2 linked regions of the Caenorhabditis elegans genome follow. The protein of the gene in region 1 interacts with the protein of each later gene in a pairwise test. Each region holds a gene or a part of one and is shown in the gene's direction. Other genes may lie near its edges.

Region 1 (6,972 bases):
AAAAAAACTTGAAACACTTAAAACGCGGTTTACTGGCACTGTTACATGTATGTATTTTTCTACGACATGCATGTTTCAAAAATTCACAGACAGTATGAAAACTTTCTGTTATTTTTTGACCAAGACAGTAACCTTACAATACCACTACAGTACCTTGACATTATCCTCCACCGACTCCTAACCCAATACCTCTTCAAAGGACGAAATGCCAATTTTTCCAAAACTACAGTAACCCTACCGTATACCTACAGTACCCCTATAGTAACACTACAGTACCTTGACTTGATCCCCCATAAACTCCCGAATAACTACCTCTTCTAAAGCTCTAAGCTCAATTTTTCGGAACATTCCAGAATTTTCTCGATTTTTCTAGAAAGTTCTGGAACATTACAGAAATTTCTCGATTTTTCTAGAAAGTTCTGGAACATTCCAAAAATTTCCCAATTTTTCTAGAAAGTTCTGGAACATTACAGAAATTTCTCAATTTTTCTAGAAAGTTCTGGAACATTCCAGACTTTTCCCAATTTTTCTAGAAAGTTCTGGAACATTCCAGACTTTTCCCAATTTTTCTAGAAAGTTCTGGAACATTACAGAAATTTCTCAATTTTTCTAGAAAGTTCTGGAACATTCCAGACTTTTCCCAATTTTTCTAGAAAGTTCTGGAACATTCCAGACTTTTCCCAATTTTTCTAGAAAGTTCTGGAACATTCCAGAATTTTCTCGATTTTTCTACAAAGTTCTGGAACATTCCAGAATTTTCTCGATTTTTCTAGAAAGTTCTGGAACATTCGAGAATTTTTTCGAAATTTCCAGAAGATTCTAGATTTCCAGAATTTTAGAATTTTCAGAAAATTTAAATTTCCCGCAAAAATATTTTTCACAGAAAACTTAAATTTCTCGCCGAAATATTTTTCTCAGAAAATTTAAATTTCCCGCCAAAATATTTTTCACAGAACATTTAAAATTCCCGCCAAAATATTTTTCACAGAAAATTTAAATTTCCCGCCAAATTATTTTTCACAGAAAATTTAAATTTCCCGCCAAAATTTTGGGTCTTACCACGACGGGTCTCACCACGGTGGGTATTACCACGATGGGTCTCACCACGACGGGTCTCACCACGGTGGGTCTCGCCACGATGGGTCTCACCACGATGGGTCTCGCCACGATGAGTCTCACCGCGAAGGATGACAGACCCCGCCCACAATTCTCAGTGACTTTGGGTGTGACGTCACAGACTACAAAGACTACATAGACTACAAACTATGGAACAAACGGAATTATTTTTTTATATATAAGTAATGATAGTATTTAGAAGTATTCACTGATGATTTTTGTACTGCTTATTTGTAATTTTATTGTGAATGTGTTGTCAAATTTAGGCTCCGCCAGCTGCTGCACCACCGAAAAAAACAGCTCCACCGAAGAAACAACCGGAAGATGAGGAAGTGGTCGAGGAAGAGGATGAGGTGATTAAAATTGTGTTCTTATTTCCATATAGTAATTTGTATCGATTGTGTGGTCGTTTAAAACTGAAAACTTACAATTTTTTATTATTTTTTTTTCAGCCCCTGAAACCACCACCAGGCGATAAGAAGAAGAAAGTTCCCGTGAAGGAGAACGAAGAAAACGAGCCTCCCGTTGTTGCACCAAAAGCCGAACTTTTGCTCAGTGACAACGAGGATAAAAAGCAACGAATCAAGGAAGAGAAGCAATTAAAAGTAATTGCTTTAAATGAGTTAATAATCATACATTCTAATTAATTTGCAGTTAGTCAAATGGAATTTCCAAGCTCCGACTGATGAACATATCTCGCAACTTCAAACCCTGCTCGGAAACCAAGCGAAAGTGTCTCTAATGAGTCAACTTTTCCACAAAGATTTCAAGCAGCATCTTGCGGCTCTTGATTCTCTGGTTCGCCTTGCCGATACATCTCCTCGATCTCTTCTATCCAACAGCGATCTTCTATTAAAATGGTGCACTTTGCGATTTTTCGAGACCAACCCGGCCGCACTTATCAAAGTTTTGGAATTGTGCAAAGTTATTGTGGAGCTAATTCGGGATACAGAAACTCCAATGTCACAAGAAGAGGTGTCTGCATTTGTTCCATACTTGTTATTGAAGACAGGAGAAGCCAAAGACAATATGAGAACTTCTGTCAGGGATATTGTCAATGTACTTTCAGATGTTGTCGGTCCACTCAAGATGACACCCATGCTACTTGGTATGAGAGAAGAAGATCAATAATGTTCTAGTAATTTTTATTTTCAGATGCGCTGAAGTCGAAAAACGCTCGCCAACGTTCCGAGTGTCTGCTAGTCATTGAATACTACATTACAAATGCTGGAATAAGTCCGCTGAAATCGTTATCAGTCGAAAAAACAGTTGCTCCATTTGTTGGTGACAAGGATGTCAACGTCCGAAATGCTGCTATCAATGTTCTCGTGGCTTGTTTCAAATTTGAAGGTGATCAAATGTGGAAAGCAGCAGGAAGAATGGCAGATAAGGACAAGTCGTTGGTTGAGGAAAGAATAAAACGAACAGGAGTGAAACCGGGATCTGGTGTTGTCACCTCGCCGCCAACTGGAGGACCCAAAATTTTAGTGCCACAACAACAGGTTAGTTGTTTAAAATATTTCTCGTAATGAGTCAGGTTCCCTGAAAGATCACTTGAATCGGCCATACAGTCTTACGAGTTGGAAGTAAATAATATTTTTTTTTGTCTCAAATATTTGGAGTTAGTAGTGATTCCCTATTCGATACCCACGCGAAGTTTCGTTCAGTTTTTAGAAAACGAAAAATTACATGTTTTTCAGGGTTCGGTTGTTCGTCGTCCTGCTTCTCGATCTCGTACTCGTGAACCTGAACCAGAAGAAGTTCAAAGCGACACCTTCACTATACGACAAGACACAATGCCTCCAAAAACTTCATCTCGCTATGCACTTCGTGACGACGTCTTTTCGTCAGCCATGGGCCGTCTTGATGGCACTCAAGTCATCACTCCACCACAACCTGTCAATGGCTGGTCAAACAATACCTTCCAAATGAAGCGGACCAATTCTTCATCGTCGATTTCCTCCATAGACACTTCTGATCAAATCCAAAGAAGCATCAACAATATTTCGAGCAGTCTTGCAGATGTTGCTCAAGATGCTATGTTCCAGGTCACTTATGTTCTTAATCAACCTGAACAACGTCATCTTGTTGATCGACGTGCCGATTTGGTGTTTCGTGCATCTGCTGCTCAATTAGATTTGGTGATTGAAGAATTCAATGCTGGACGAGATGTCAGTGGAACTATGGACGCTTGTACGCAAATGCTTTTCATTGTAAGTTATATTTTTCATATGTCATAGTAATCAAGGGGAGTTCCGAAATATATCTGGCTCTCTTTGTTTCATTTAGTCATGCCATGTATATGTATATATCCAAATTTATCTTTTCAGTTGATGGGAGGAGTCGAAACTGAGCACGGCCTTGAGCCACTTAATGCGTCCCCCGACACAGTCAAAGCCATCATCTCTTCGGTCCTCAGATGTATCATCCAAATCGGTAACACAGAGTCCGGATACGGAATGGCAAGATCTCTCAATCGACTGGCAATGCGATTAATCTACAGAGTTGAGCTGTCTAATCTGTTGTGCGGATTGATTCTGGCAATGACTGAATCACTTCAAATGAACACCGGTATAACCGAACTTGTGTCGAAGCTCTCGTCGAAATGGTGTGATGAACTTGAAAAGAGAAGAGCTCAACTGAGAGCCTCGGATATAGTCGACTCATTCAATGCTTTCTACGTTTGTGCACTCACAGAACTTAAAATGGACATCAGCGATTCACACATTTTGATAGTTGATAACTATTTGGAGCGGGTTATCCTTCAGCAAGGAGACGTCGTCTTGGATGCTGCCCGTCGTCTTTCTCGACCACATATGCACTTGACCAGTATGATCAACAAGATTTTACAAATGATGAGAGAACGAAAAATTGATCCTATCATGCCTGGAACATTGGAAGCCAGAATGCCACAAGAGGATGAAGCAGTTGTAGTGCGAAGCGGCGTTCAAGTTTCGATCGACAATATTCTGCGTGATACCTCGATGGCAGTTAAACATATTGAGCAACTGAATATTCTCATTGCATCCAGTGACCGATCTTGGAATGAGTATATGGAATATCTCAAAAATAATCCAATGGGAGAGCTCATCAAGGAGCTAGTCGGCGAGTGTTCCAGAAAGAAGAGGATTGACTTTAACCTCTCTCATGTCGTTAAATCGTCAATGGCAGTTTTCAAAGCCATGGCAGCTACTGGTCCTGTTCAAGAGGAAGGTAGAATAACTCCAACAGATATAAACAGAATGGATACTATGATTGTGTAAGTTTCATAAGACAAAGAACGTAATTTAGCTCTCATCTCATATTTTGCCAAACTAAAAAAAACTAATTTTCAGTGGAACACCTCTATCTCGTGGAGACGCAACCATCACTCGTGCGCGTGGAAACATGATCCGTCCAAAGAGAACCACATTGAGCCGAGACCAAATGGCGAACATTCGTCATACACTGGACAGAGTCAAAAATCATTGATAATTTTATCCCTGCCCCTTAAAGTGCATAACACGAAAATAACGAGTAATTTCTTACACCCGCATTTTTACTGGTATTTTTTAGCTCTATGCTTCAATTTTATTTGCTTGTGAAATGTATTTTGTATTGTAAAATCATTTTGATTACCAGAAGAATTTACTGATCTGGAACTTTAATTTATTGATTGATATTCGTGGAAGAGCTCGGAAGTATTTCAGTTTTTTAGCGCTTATTTCATTCCCGGAAATAAATTTATTGTTTAACTTTTAAAAAATAACTTCAGCAAACAGACTCTCAATAAAAGGCGGATTAGCGGATTTTATTTGAGAATTTCGGTTCGATGACTGTTCTATGGAAATACATGAGAGTTTCGCTTTAAAGGTTCTGATTTCCAGAAATTTATTTATTTTTTCCATTTATTAATTAATAATATATTAAATTCCAAAAAAAGTATTGTCCGCAATGTGGCGTCACCGTGTACACCTTGGTTGGTACTAAGGACACCGAATTTGCCGACAATCCAAATTAATCCTATTTTCTTTTCGGTCTTCTTGATTAATTTCTCTAGATTTCCATAGTTAATTCATTATATTTTCAGCGAAATGCCAACTGTGGGAATCAAGAAAGTCATCCTTGACAAGCACTTCAAGCGAGTCTATTGTAAGTTTCTAAAAAAAGCAGTGTAGTCTGAAAAATGTTGCTACTGGAATTAAAGTAGTAAAAGCAATGAACGGATATCAAAATAAATTCGTAGTAAACTACATTGTTTGTATTACCAATAATGTTAAATTTTCAGCGGAGAAGGAGTTCGACGAGCTCTGTTTCGAATATGGCTTGGAGTTGGACGAAATTGTACGTTTTGGTTCAAATATTTGTTATCATATTTTATTTGCAGACATCTGAGAAAGCCGCTGTTGAAAAAGAGCAAGGAACAAGAGCTGCGTCTGATTTGAATGATCAAGAAGTATACAAAATTGACATTCCAGCAAATCGCTATGATTTATTGAGCGTTGAAGGGCTGGCTCGAGCAATTCGTATTTTCAAACAAGAAATCCCATCACCAGCATACAAATATGCCGATGTGCCAAAGACTGGTCTTCAAAAAATTATCGTGAAGAAGGAAACTGCTCAAGTTCGTCCTTTTGTCGTCGGAGCAGTTTTACGTGATATTTCATTCGATGCGGATAGCTATGCTTCTTTCATTGATCTTCAGGACAAGCTGCATCAAAATATCTGCAGAAAGCGTACTCTTGTTGCCATCGGAACACACGACTTGGACACCATTCAAGGGCCATTCGAATACCGAGCCGAAGCTCCAAAAGATATCAAGTTCAAACCGCTTAATCAAACGAAGGAGTATACTGCGGAAGAACTGATGACCCTGTATTCCACCGATAGTCATTTAAAAGCTTATCTTCCTATTATTCAAAATCATCCAGTGTATCCTGTGATTTATGATAAGAACGGAGTTGTTTGCTCAATGCCGCCTATTATCAATGGAGAACATTCCAAGATCACTTTGAATACCAAAAACGTCTTCATTGAGGCTACTGCAACAGATAAACAGAAAGCTTTCGTGGTCCTTGACACTATTGTGACTCTTTTCTCTCAGTACTGTGCCAAGCCGTTCACTATCGAGCAAGTCGAAGTTGTGTATGAGGAAACTGGAGTCAAAGAGCTTTATCCTCTTCTTTCCTATCGTGAAATGACTGTGACAACACCAGAAATCAATACGAAGATTGGTATCAACCTGAAAGATGAAGAAATGGCAACTCTTCTCAATAAAATGTCGTTGAAAGCTGAGGTTGCTGCGAAGGAAACTTTGAAAATTGTTGTTCCACCCACAAGACACGATATTCTCCACGCATGTGACATTGCTGAAGATGTTGGTGTGGCCTTTGGTTACAATAACTTGATTACAAAGCTTCCGGAGGTATTTATTCATTTTCTAGATTAAATTCTAAATAAGTATTTTCAGTCCAATACTGTTGCTGTGGCCTTCCCAATCAACAAGCTCTGCGATAATCTCCGGATCGAAATTGCTGCCGCTGGATGGACAGAAGCTTTGAACTTCGCATTGTGCAGCCGTGACGACATTTCTTCAAAGCTCCGCCAGCCAGATGCACTTTCTCATGCAGTTCATATTGGAAATCCAAAAACTCTTGAATTCCAAGTTGCTCGAACATCCCTTCTTCCCGGACTTTTGAAAACACTGTCTTCCAACCGAGACATGCCACTCCCATTGAAATTGTTTGAGCTTCAAGATGTTATTGTGAAAGACTCAAATACAGATGTTGGAGCAAGAAATGAGAGAAGACTTGCTGCAGTGTACTACAATAGAGCTGCTGGTTTCGAGATTATTCAAGGATTCTTGGATCGAATTAT
Region 2 (6,972 bases), on another chromosome or scaffold:
GAACTTCATTTCTCTGTGCAAATAAAATCATCTCTCCATTTCTTTACTTACAAAAAATTGATTTGAATATAAATACTCTCTTTGTATGTCGAAATGAAATTCCAATCATTTCGAACACAAAAAAAGCGAAAAAAGCATCTGAAATTGCGTTCGACGACAAATTGATAAACGTTTGAGATGGTTGCCGGTGAGTCACAATCAAAATTGAAAAGAGACATACATATTGTGAAGTTATTGTCCCCCACCCGCAATAGGTACAAATGATACATCATTATCGCCTTCAACCTACGCGTTCCATGAATAATTATGCAGAACGACAACAACAAAGGGAGTCGTATTGCAATATGTGTATTGGTACACTGTAATCCGCACGTTGAGCGCACCGAAACGGCTTAGTCAGTTCTTATGAAAAATATTCAGAATACAAAATACATAACCTGTTTTTACGTTCCGAACCGATACCCCTGAATAGGATATGAACTGTAATCAGTTTACGGGCGCGGTTTAACTTTTCAAGAAATGTTAGCATCTGTCCCGAAAAACTGTCATACTCTTTATTAGAAGCGAAACGCTGAATTTTCACATTATATATGGATTCGCAAAGTTTCCAGTTGTTATTTATGTGTTTTTAATACGTTGCAGACGACGTAGTTTATCCCCAAGCTTATTGTCTACATAGATCAAAAACTTGCGTTGCTTTGTATTTGAGTATATAGAATGAAATCACTAGTACTGTAACTTTCCTAAACCTTCTCGTGCACTTTTTATAATTGAAAATTTGACAAAAGGCTAAATTTCGCTAAAATTCTCCAACTTATACGTGTTTTAGGACATTAGGTTTTATTGAATTATTAATAATTTAGCATATTTGCAACGCATACCTGTGTTTAATTAAATATCAATTGAAAACATACCTTACTAATTAAAAATTAGATTAATTATAATGATAGATAAAAATTAGAAAAATTAGATAATTGAAAATTAAAAAATAATTAGTTGACATAAAAACGCGTTATGATTAACCAAAATGCACCAGAAGAATTAAGCAATTTAGTCAACGTTCTTGGAAAATACAACAAAAAATACCACTTTTATTATGAATTTCGGTCTTGTGCCATTTTATACGGATAGTTTGCGATGTGGCGTTGCTCATTTTACAAAAATTGCAAAATTGCCAGTGTAAGTAGAAAATACCAATTAAAAGCTAAAGACGCATTAAGAAATAATTTCCATTTCAAATAAACGTTGTTGAATTAGTAATACGTGTGTTGTTAGTTTAATTTTCATTTAAATCTCACCAAAATTCAATTTTTACTATTTCACCTGCGTGCAATTTTTGACTCATATGCACTACCCAACAAATATGTTATTTCCCTACCTCCCCCTCCCGCAATTGTAAAGCAAAAAAGTAAAAAAATGTTTAAAAAGAGACTCTCAAAATGCAAATGTTTGTTTTGATACCCGCTATCAATCCGCCCTTTTCGCCCATTTTTTCTTCTCTCCCTGATTTTACAGGCCGAGTTTCGTTTGTGTACATGAAGGCAACAGCTCCGCCTCCGTGTTATTTTGCATATATATTTCAGGCAACACCTACGGTTTGTTTGTCCGACACGGTCTCCTTAAAAGGGAGTACTGTAACTGAGCTTTTTTAAAAATGACACTGGTTCTATTTTTCCAATGCAACCTTCCTTTTAAACGTTAGTATAATACTTAAAAACAAAAAAGGAAAGTTTGTTTTTTTTTCTAGTTTCTTAATTAATAAAGTTCGCATGTACTGAAAAAATGACTCTTTTCCTGATGATAATGCAATTTATTTTATACAAATCATAAGTTTCATTAATCAACAGACATCTTAGCATTATGTTTCAGAACATTTTATGTAGATTTGAATTTTAAGGGAAGTTTTAATTTTAAATTCCGTTTTAAAGAAGACCGTTTGCCGTGAGTTTTTTTTTCAGTGTTGTTTTTATTTTAAATGTTTAACTTCAATTTTTTGGCAGTTTTAAAATGAACTTGTATACAAACAATTTCATTAATAATTGTTATTTTGGCTGTACAAGTAAATCACGAACCATAATCAAAGGCTGACTTGTAAGATGTCGGCCGATTTATCTAAGAACGAGATCGCGGGGTGCAGATTTGAAACAATCTGAACCTGTAGACAATATAATCAGCTAAATTTTATTTATTGAACTTTTTCCCAACGCTAATAGTTTCTGAGATAGACACAATCAAATAAATTTCAGAATTATAGATTAAGACCCTTTTGAACATTGAATTTTTAACAAGTCGTAAACATTTCACCTAAATTTTAGAACACGCAGTTTCGATGCTCTGAACTTATTTTTGTCAATTTGTATTCCCATTATCCTCCCCTTATCGCATACTAAAAATTTTTCCATTTTTCGATTTTAGTTTTGACGTGCTTATCTTTTGTCATCCCTTCACAACCAAAACAATTCAGAATAATATAAGGTGTTTACGATCCTTTAATACTCATGAATATGGAAACGTTGTGAAACAGTAGCATTGTGTATAAACACGCCATGACGGCAGCTAGCATCTAGTAATCGGTCACCGAATCGCCGTCGCCACCGCCGTCCGCTTTTGAATAGCGGTCAGTGCGCGTTCGTCAATAGCTCGATGAACCGTTACACTCTCCCAGTTTTTAGTTTCTGTTTCATTTTCTGTTTCATGCCTGGTTTTTTCCTTCTATAATTTGACTATACAGACAATTAGGAGTAAACCCTCCTAGGCATCCTCTTTCCACGCATGCCAAGTCCCGTCAAAATAAATAGTGCGCGCGCCAATTTGTAACACGGTTTTTTGTTCTGTCAAGAGTTAGGGCTCTCGAAACAGCTAATAGATCTCGCGCATTGTCATTGTGTCCTACAAACGATCCATCTCTAATCTGTGTCATATTCACTCATATTCTTGTCACATATGTATAACGTCATTTACTATGAGGTAACTTTTCTACACTTTTTCATCGAAAAATAGTTCGCTGTGTTTTTTTTTTAATTTTCGATTATGAAAATGCAATTAATTGAAAACTATTTAAGTTTCCATGTTTGTAGGAAATGTCGGAGAGCGAATACCGAAGCTCAATTTCGGTTCGACCAACGTTTAACAGAACAATGCAATCCACCGCCACCTATGGAAGTACTATTTGTGAGTTTTCAGATGAATATTTTGAATATGAGCAGTACTTTGTCTTTAAAATTGTATTATATGATGTATTATATGATTTATATTAAAATTAAACCCTCCAAATGTTTTAATTTATGTTTTACAATATTCAATTGGCAATATGCCAAACGTTCAAACAACAACCCTGACCTTTTGAGAAGTTTTGAACATTTTTGCTGATCTGAACTTTCAAAATGTACAAATAAAATCAATTAAAATTCAATTAAAAGAAAAAACTTGTGGAATGTTTTATTGTCTCACTACCAAAATTATGATTGGTGAAAAATGATTAAGTGAACTTTTTTGACTGTAAAGTTAAAAATAAAAATTTAAAAAGTGTTAAAAAATTATTAACATTAATGAATTGATTCCTCTGGAAAACCTACAAATTTTTTTTGTTTTATGGTCATGTTTGTCAAGTGTTATTTTTCAGTTCTGATACACGTTTAAAAACTACTTCAAACTACAAAAACTGACTTCCAAAAATTCAAATTTCAGCTTCTGGAACTAGCCGCACACTCAAGATCACAGAGATCGGTGGATCTAATCTAACATCAGGCATGTCTCCATTCGGAGGCCATGCCGCCTCTGCCATTCGTGAATCTCGTACTCGCGAGAAAAAAGAAATGAGTGAACTCAATGACCGCCTGGCGAGCTACATTGAGAAAGTTCGATTCTTGGAGGCTCAAAATCGCAAGATGGAGAAGGACTTGAATTTGCTCCGTGGAAAATGGGGACACGATTCTACAAGTGTTAAAGTTATGTATGAGACTGAGCTCAGAGTAAGTGAATGAATATTATATACAGCAAAATCTGAGAAACTTTAAATTCTGTTCAGAGTGCGAAAGACCTGATCGCCGATTCTGACAAAGAAAGAGCTCAGCTAGAAGATCAAATTAAGAAACTTGTTGAAGAGCTGAACAACTATAGAAACAAACTTCATGAGGCTGAAAGAGGTGCTGACGTTACACGTAAAGAGCTTGACAATGTGCTCGGAAGACTTGGAGCATTGGAAGCCGAGATTGAGCTATTGAAAAGAAGAATTTCTCTGATGGAAGAAAGCATCGGTCATTTGAAGCGCGAAAATCATCGTATGATCGACTCACTTCATCATGCCAGAAATGTAAGTTTCAGTAGAAAACTTAATTTATATGTACAGCTTTCAGGCTGTGGAACAAGAAACTCTGAACCGCATCGATTATCAAAATCAAGTGCAGACACTACTGGAGGAGTGTGATTTCATTCGCAGAATTCATGATTCGGTATGAAAAACAATTAGTACAGCTTTCAACGAGTGTCTTTTTCAGGAAATCCACGATCTTCTCGCTATGGCATCTCGTGATACTACGGTGGAAAACCGCGAATATTTCAAGAATGAGTTATCCTCTGCTATTCGTGAGATCAGAAGCGAATATGATCATGTGAGAAAAGTCATTAAAAGAGGTAAAAAATAGAGACTTGAATTACAGGTGAGCAACACTACCCGTACTGACATCGAGTCTTGGTACAAGCTGAAGGTTCAAGAAATTCACACTCAAAATTCTCGCAACTGCTTGGAGCAGAATTATGCTCGCGAGGAAGTTAAGAGACTCCGCACAACACTTGGTGATATGCGTGGAAAGATGGCGGATCTAGAAGGAAGAGTTCGTTTTGATGACTATATACATCTGATATTATTTGTCAACATTTCAGAATCTTCTCCTCGAAAAACAAATCGAAGACCTCAACTACCAGATGGAAGAGGATATGAGATCATATGAACAATCACTGAACGATAAGGACACATCGATCAACAAACTTCGTGACGAGAGCAAGATCCTGATGGTTGAGCTTCAAATGCTCATTGATACAAAACAGACTCTCGATGCTGAAATTGTGATCTACCGTAAGATGCTTGATGGAGAAGAGAATCGCGCAGGTCTACGTCAGCTCGTCGAGCAGGTTGTTAAGACAACATCTATTCATCAAACCAAGGAAATTGGTAGGTTCGCGTATACTCAATGTTTACTTCACGTTACGATGACCACAAATTACGGTTAAAATTTAAAGTATACGTCCACTGATAACTTGTTTCAAGTTTTCAAGTCATGCGGTCACCAAACTGTGTAACGTAACTTTATTATTGTTTTCCGCCCAGAGAGACCGCTGGGTGTGTCCCCTTGTTGATATACCTTGGTCAATTTAGTACTCCTATTTAATCGCTTTACTTTTGATTTGGAACAGCATTGTTTCATCTTTAACCCAAAAAAGTAACATGCCAGAAATTCATTGTTCTCAATACGAGACTATCACTTTTGACGACGTTCCCCATACCCATTACCTTGTCGGTGATAAAATTCGCAGAAAGCCGCACGGTAAGATTAATAGGAGTAATAGGTGTCACGAGGCATTGTTAGTTGCAAATTTATATCAGTTTTTGTGTTTTGTTGCAGAGAGTCTTCGAGTTCTCAAAGGTGAAACGACTAGTCATTCGTCGTATTCCAGATCAGCAAAAGGAAATATTGCAATTCAGGTGAGTGGAAATTACATCCCAAAAATTGATGTATATTCTGAAAAAAACAATTATAGCAAAATTTTGAAAGCAATCATGGACATTTTTTGAGCGAGTTTTTGCCTGCAATTTCCACTGAACACTTCAGAAAATGACTATTCTTCAAAATGGCCGTGCACAAAATTTAGAAATATGTGCCTGGTGTGACGATTTTGCATGATCCGACATTAACCGGGTTCGCTGCTCACTCAGAACCTAGTCCTGTGCAAAACCAAATATATGTCGGATCATGCTGAACAAAAACTTTCCTTAAAGTGGCCGTGCCCAAATTTCTGAAAACAGTGTTTTCGATTTTTCATTTTTGCAAGAAAAAAATCCACCATTTTCAGGAAGCCGAGCCATCTGGAAAGTACATTGTACTGGAGAACATCTCAAGACGTGATGAGAACATCGGAGACTGGAAACTCCGTCGGAAGATTGCCGGAAAACGCGAAATCGTGTTCACCTTCCCGCGCGAGTTCACCCTTCGTGCTCAAAAGAGCGTGAAAATTTTCGCACGTGGGCAGGGAGTTCATTCCCCACCCGATAGTCTTGTGTACGACCTCGAAGACTCGTTCGGCACCGGAAACGACGTCGTTACTACTCTCTACAACAAAGAAGGAGAGGTAAGCGTCAATAAATTATGCGCGCTGGAACTGACTGGAAACGTTATTTATCTTGTTTCAGGACCGTGCTTCCCACAGCCAACGTGCTTCACACACCTAATTGCATCAACCAATTAAATCCTATTGAACCCGGAATTACTCTCGCTTGCCTCAACTCTCTACTTTTAATGTTTGATCGAATCTTGACCCAAGATACATTTGTTCTCACCGTTAGCCATTCCTATAAATGTTCGGATTTTCAGAATAAACCAATACTGTTTTGAACCGCCAAAGTGAAACATTGATTTTCGTTTCATATCATACGAAAAGCCTTTCATTTTTTGGCTAACTCTCTAACATTTCCATTGCTTTACCATGTGCTTTTTCCATCAATTAACATTTGTAAACTATAAACTGCTTATTTTATTTCTGATCAGTTTGCTTGGTTATTTTTTTGGGAACTTTTTGTTGGACAACTGGGGGAATAGAAATGGGTAAATGCACAGGGAAAGTAAGGAGAAATGACATATAGAAACAAATACAGAAAAAAGTGATTCGTGGGAAAATGTAAACTTTCCAGAGTCTGATGATTGAATAATGCGGTAAGGAATGAAGCCAATTCTTGAGTGGGGGTTTGTGAGAGGGAAA

Evidence for each region. Proteins that work in one complex are often made in the same cells at the same time.
Region 2: the proteins of fars-3 (region 1) and ifa-4 interact in a two-hybrid assay, tested with the Caenorhabditis elegans proteins (one large-scale study listed by BioGRID).

Annotation. Positions count from the first base shown.
Region 1 is NC_003280.10:8,459,663-8,466,634, forward strand, and holds the start of fars-3 (Phenylalanine--tRNA ligase beta subunit), read left to right. Parts: upstream 1-5,185; 5' UTR 5,186-5,189; coding exon 5,190-5,247; intron 5,248-5,383; coding exon 5,384-5,439; intron 5,440-5,482; coding exon 5,483-6,520; intron 6,521-6,565; coding exon 6,566-6,972. Other genes in the region: zyg-9 (Zygote defective protein 9), read left to right, coding at 1,383-1,469, 1,569-1,721, 1,771-2,224, 2,272-2,618, 2,817-3,329, 3,447-4,375, 4,452-4,587.
Region 2 is NC_003284.9:4,912,085-4,919,056, reverse strand, and holds ifa-4 (Intermediate filament protein ifa-4), read left to right. Parts: upstream 1-3,077; 5' UTR 3,078-3,080; coding exon 3,081-3,171; intron 3,172-3,687; coding exon 3,688-3,971; intron 3,972-4,027; coding exon 4,028-4,312; intron 4,313-4,355; coding exon 4,356-4,451; intron 4,452-4,496; coding exon 4,497-4,610; intron 4,611-4,658; coding exon 4,659-4,832; intron 4,833-4,881; coding exon 4,882-5,170; intron 5,171-5,621; coding exon 5,622-5,701; intron 5,702-6,069; coding exon 6,070-6,345; intron 6,346-6,406; coding exon 6,407-6,445; 3' UTR 6,446-6,749; downstream 6,750-6,972. Other genes in the region: K05B2.4 (Acyl-coenzyme A thioesterase 1-like), read left to right, coding at 1-2.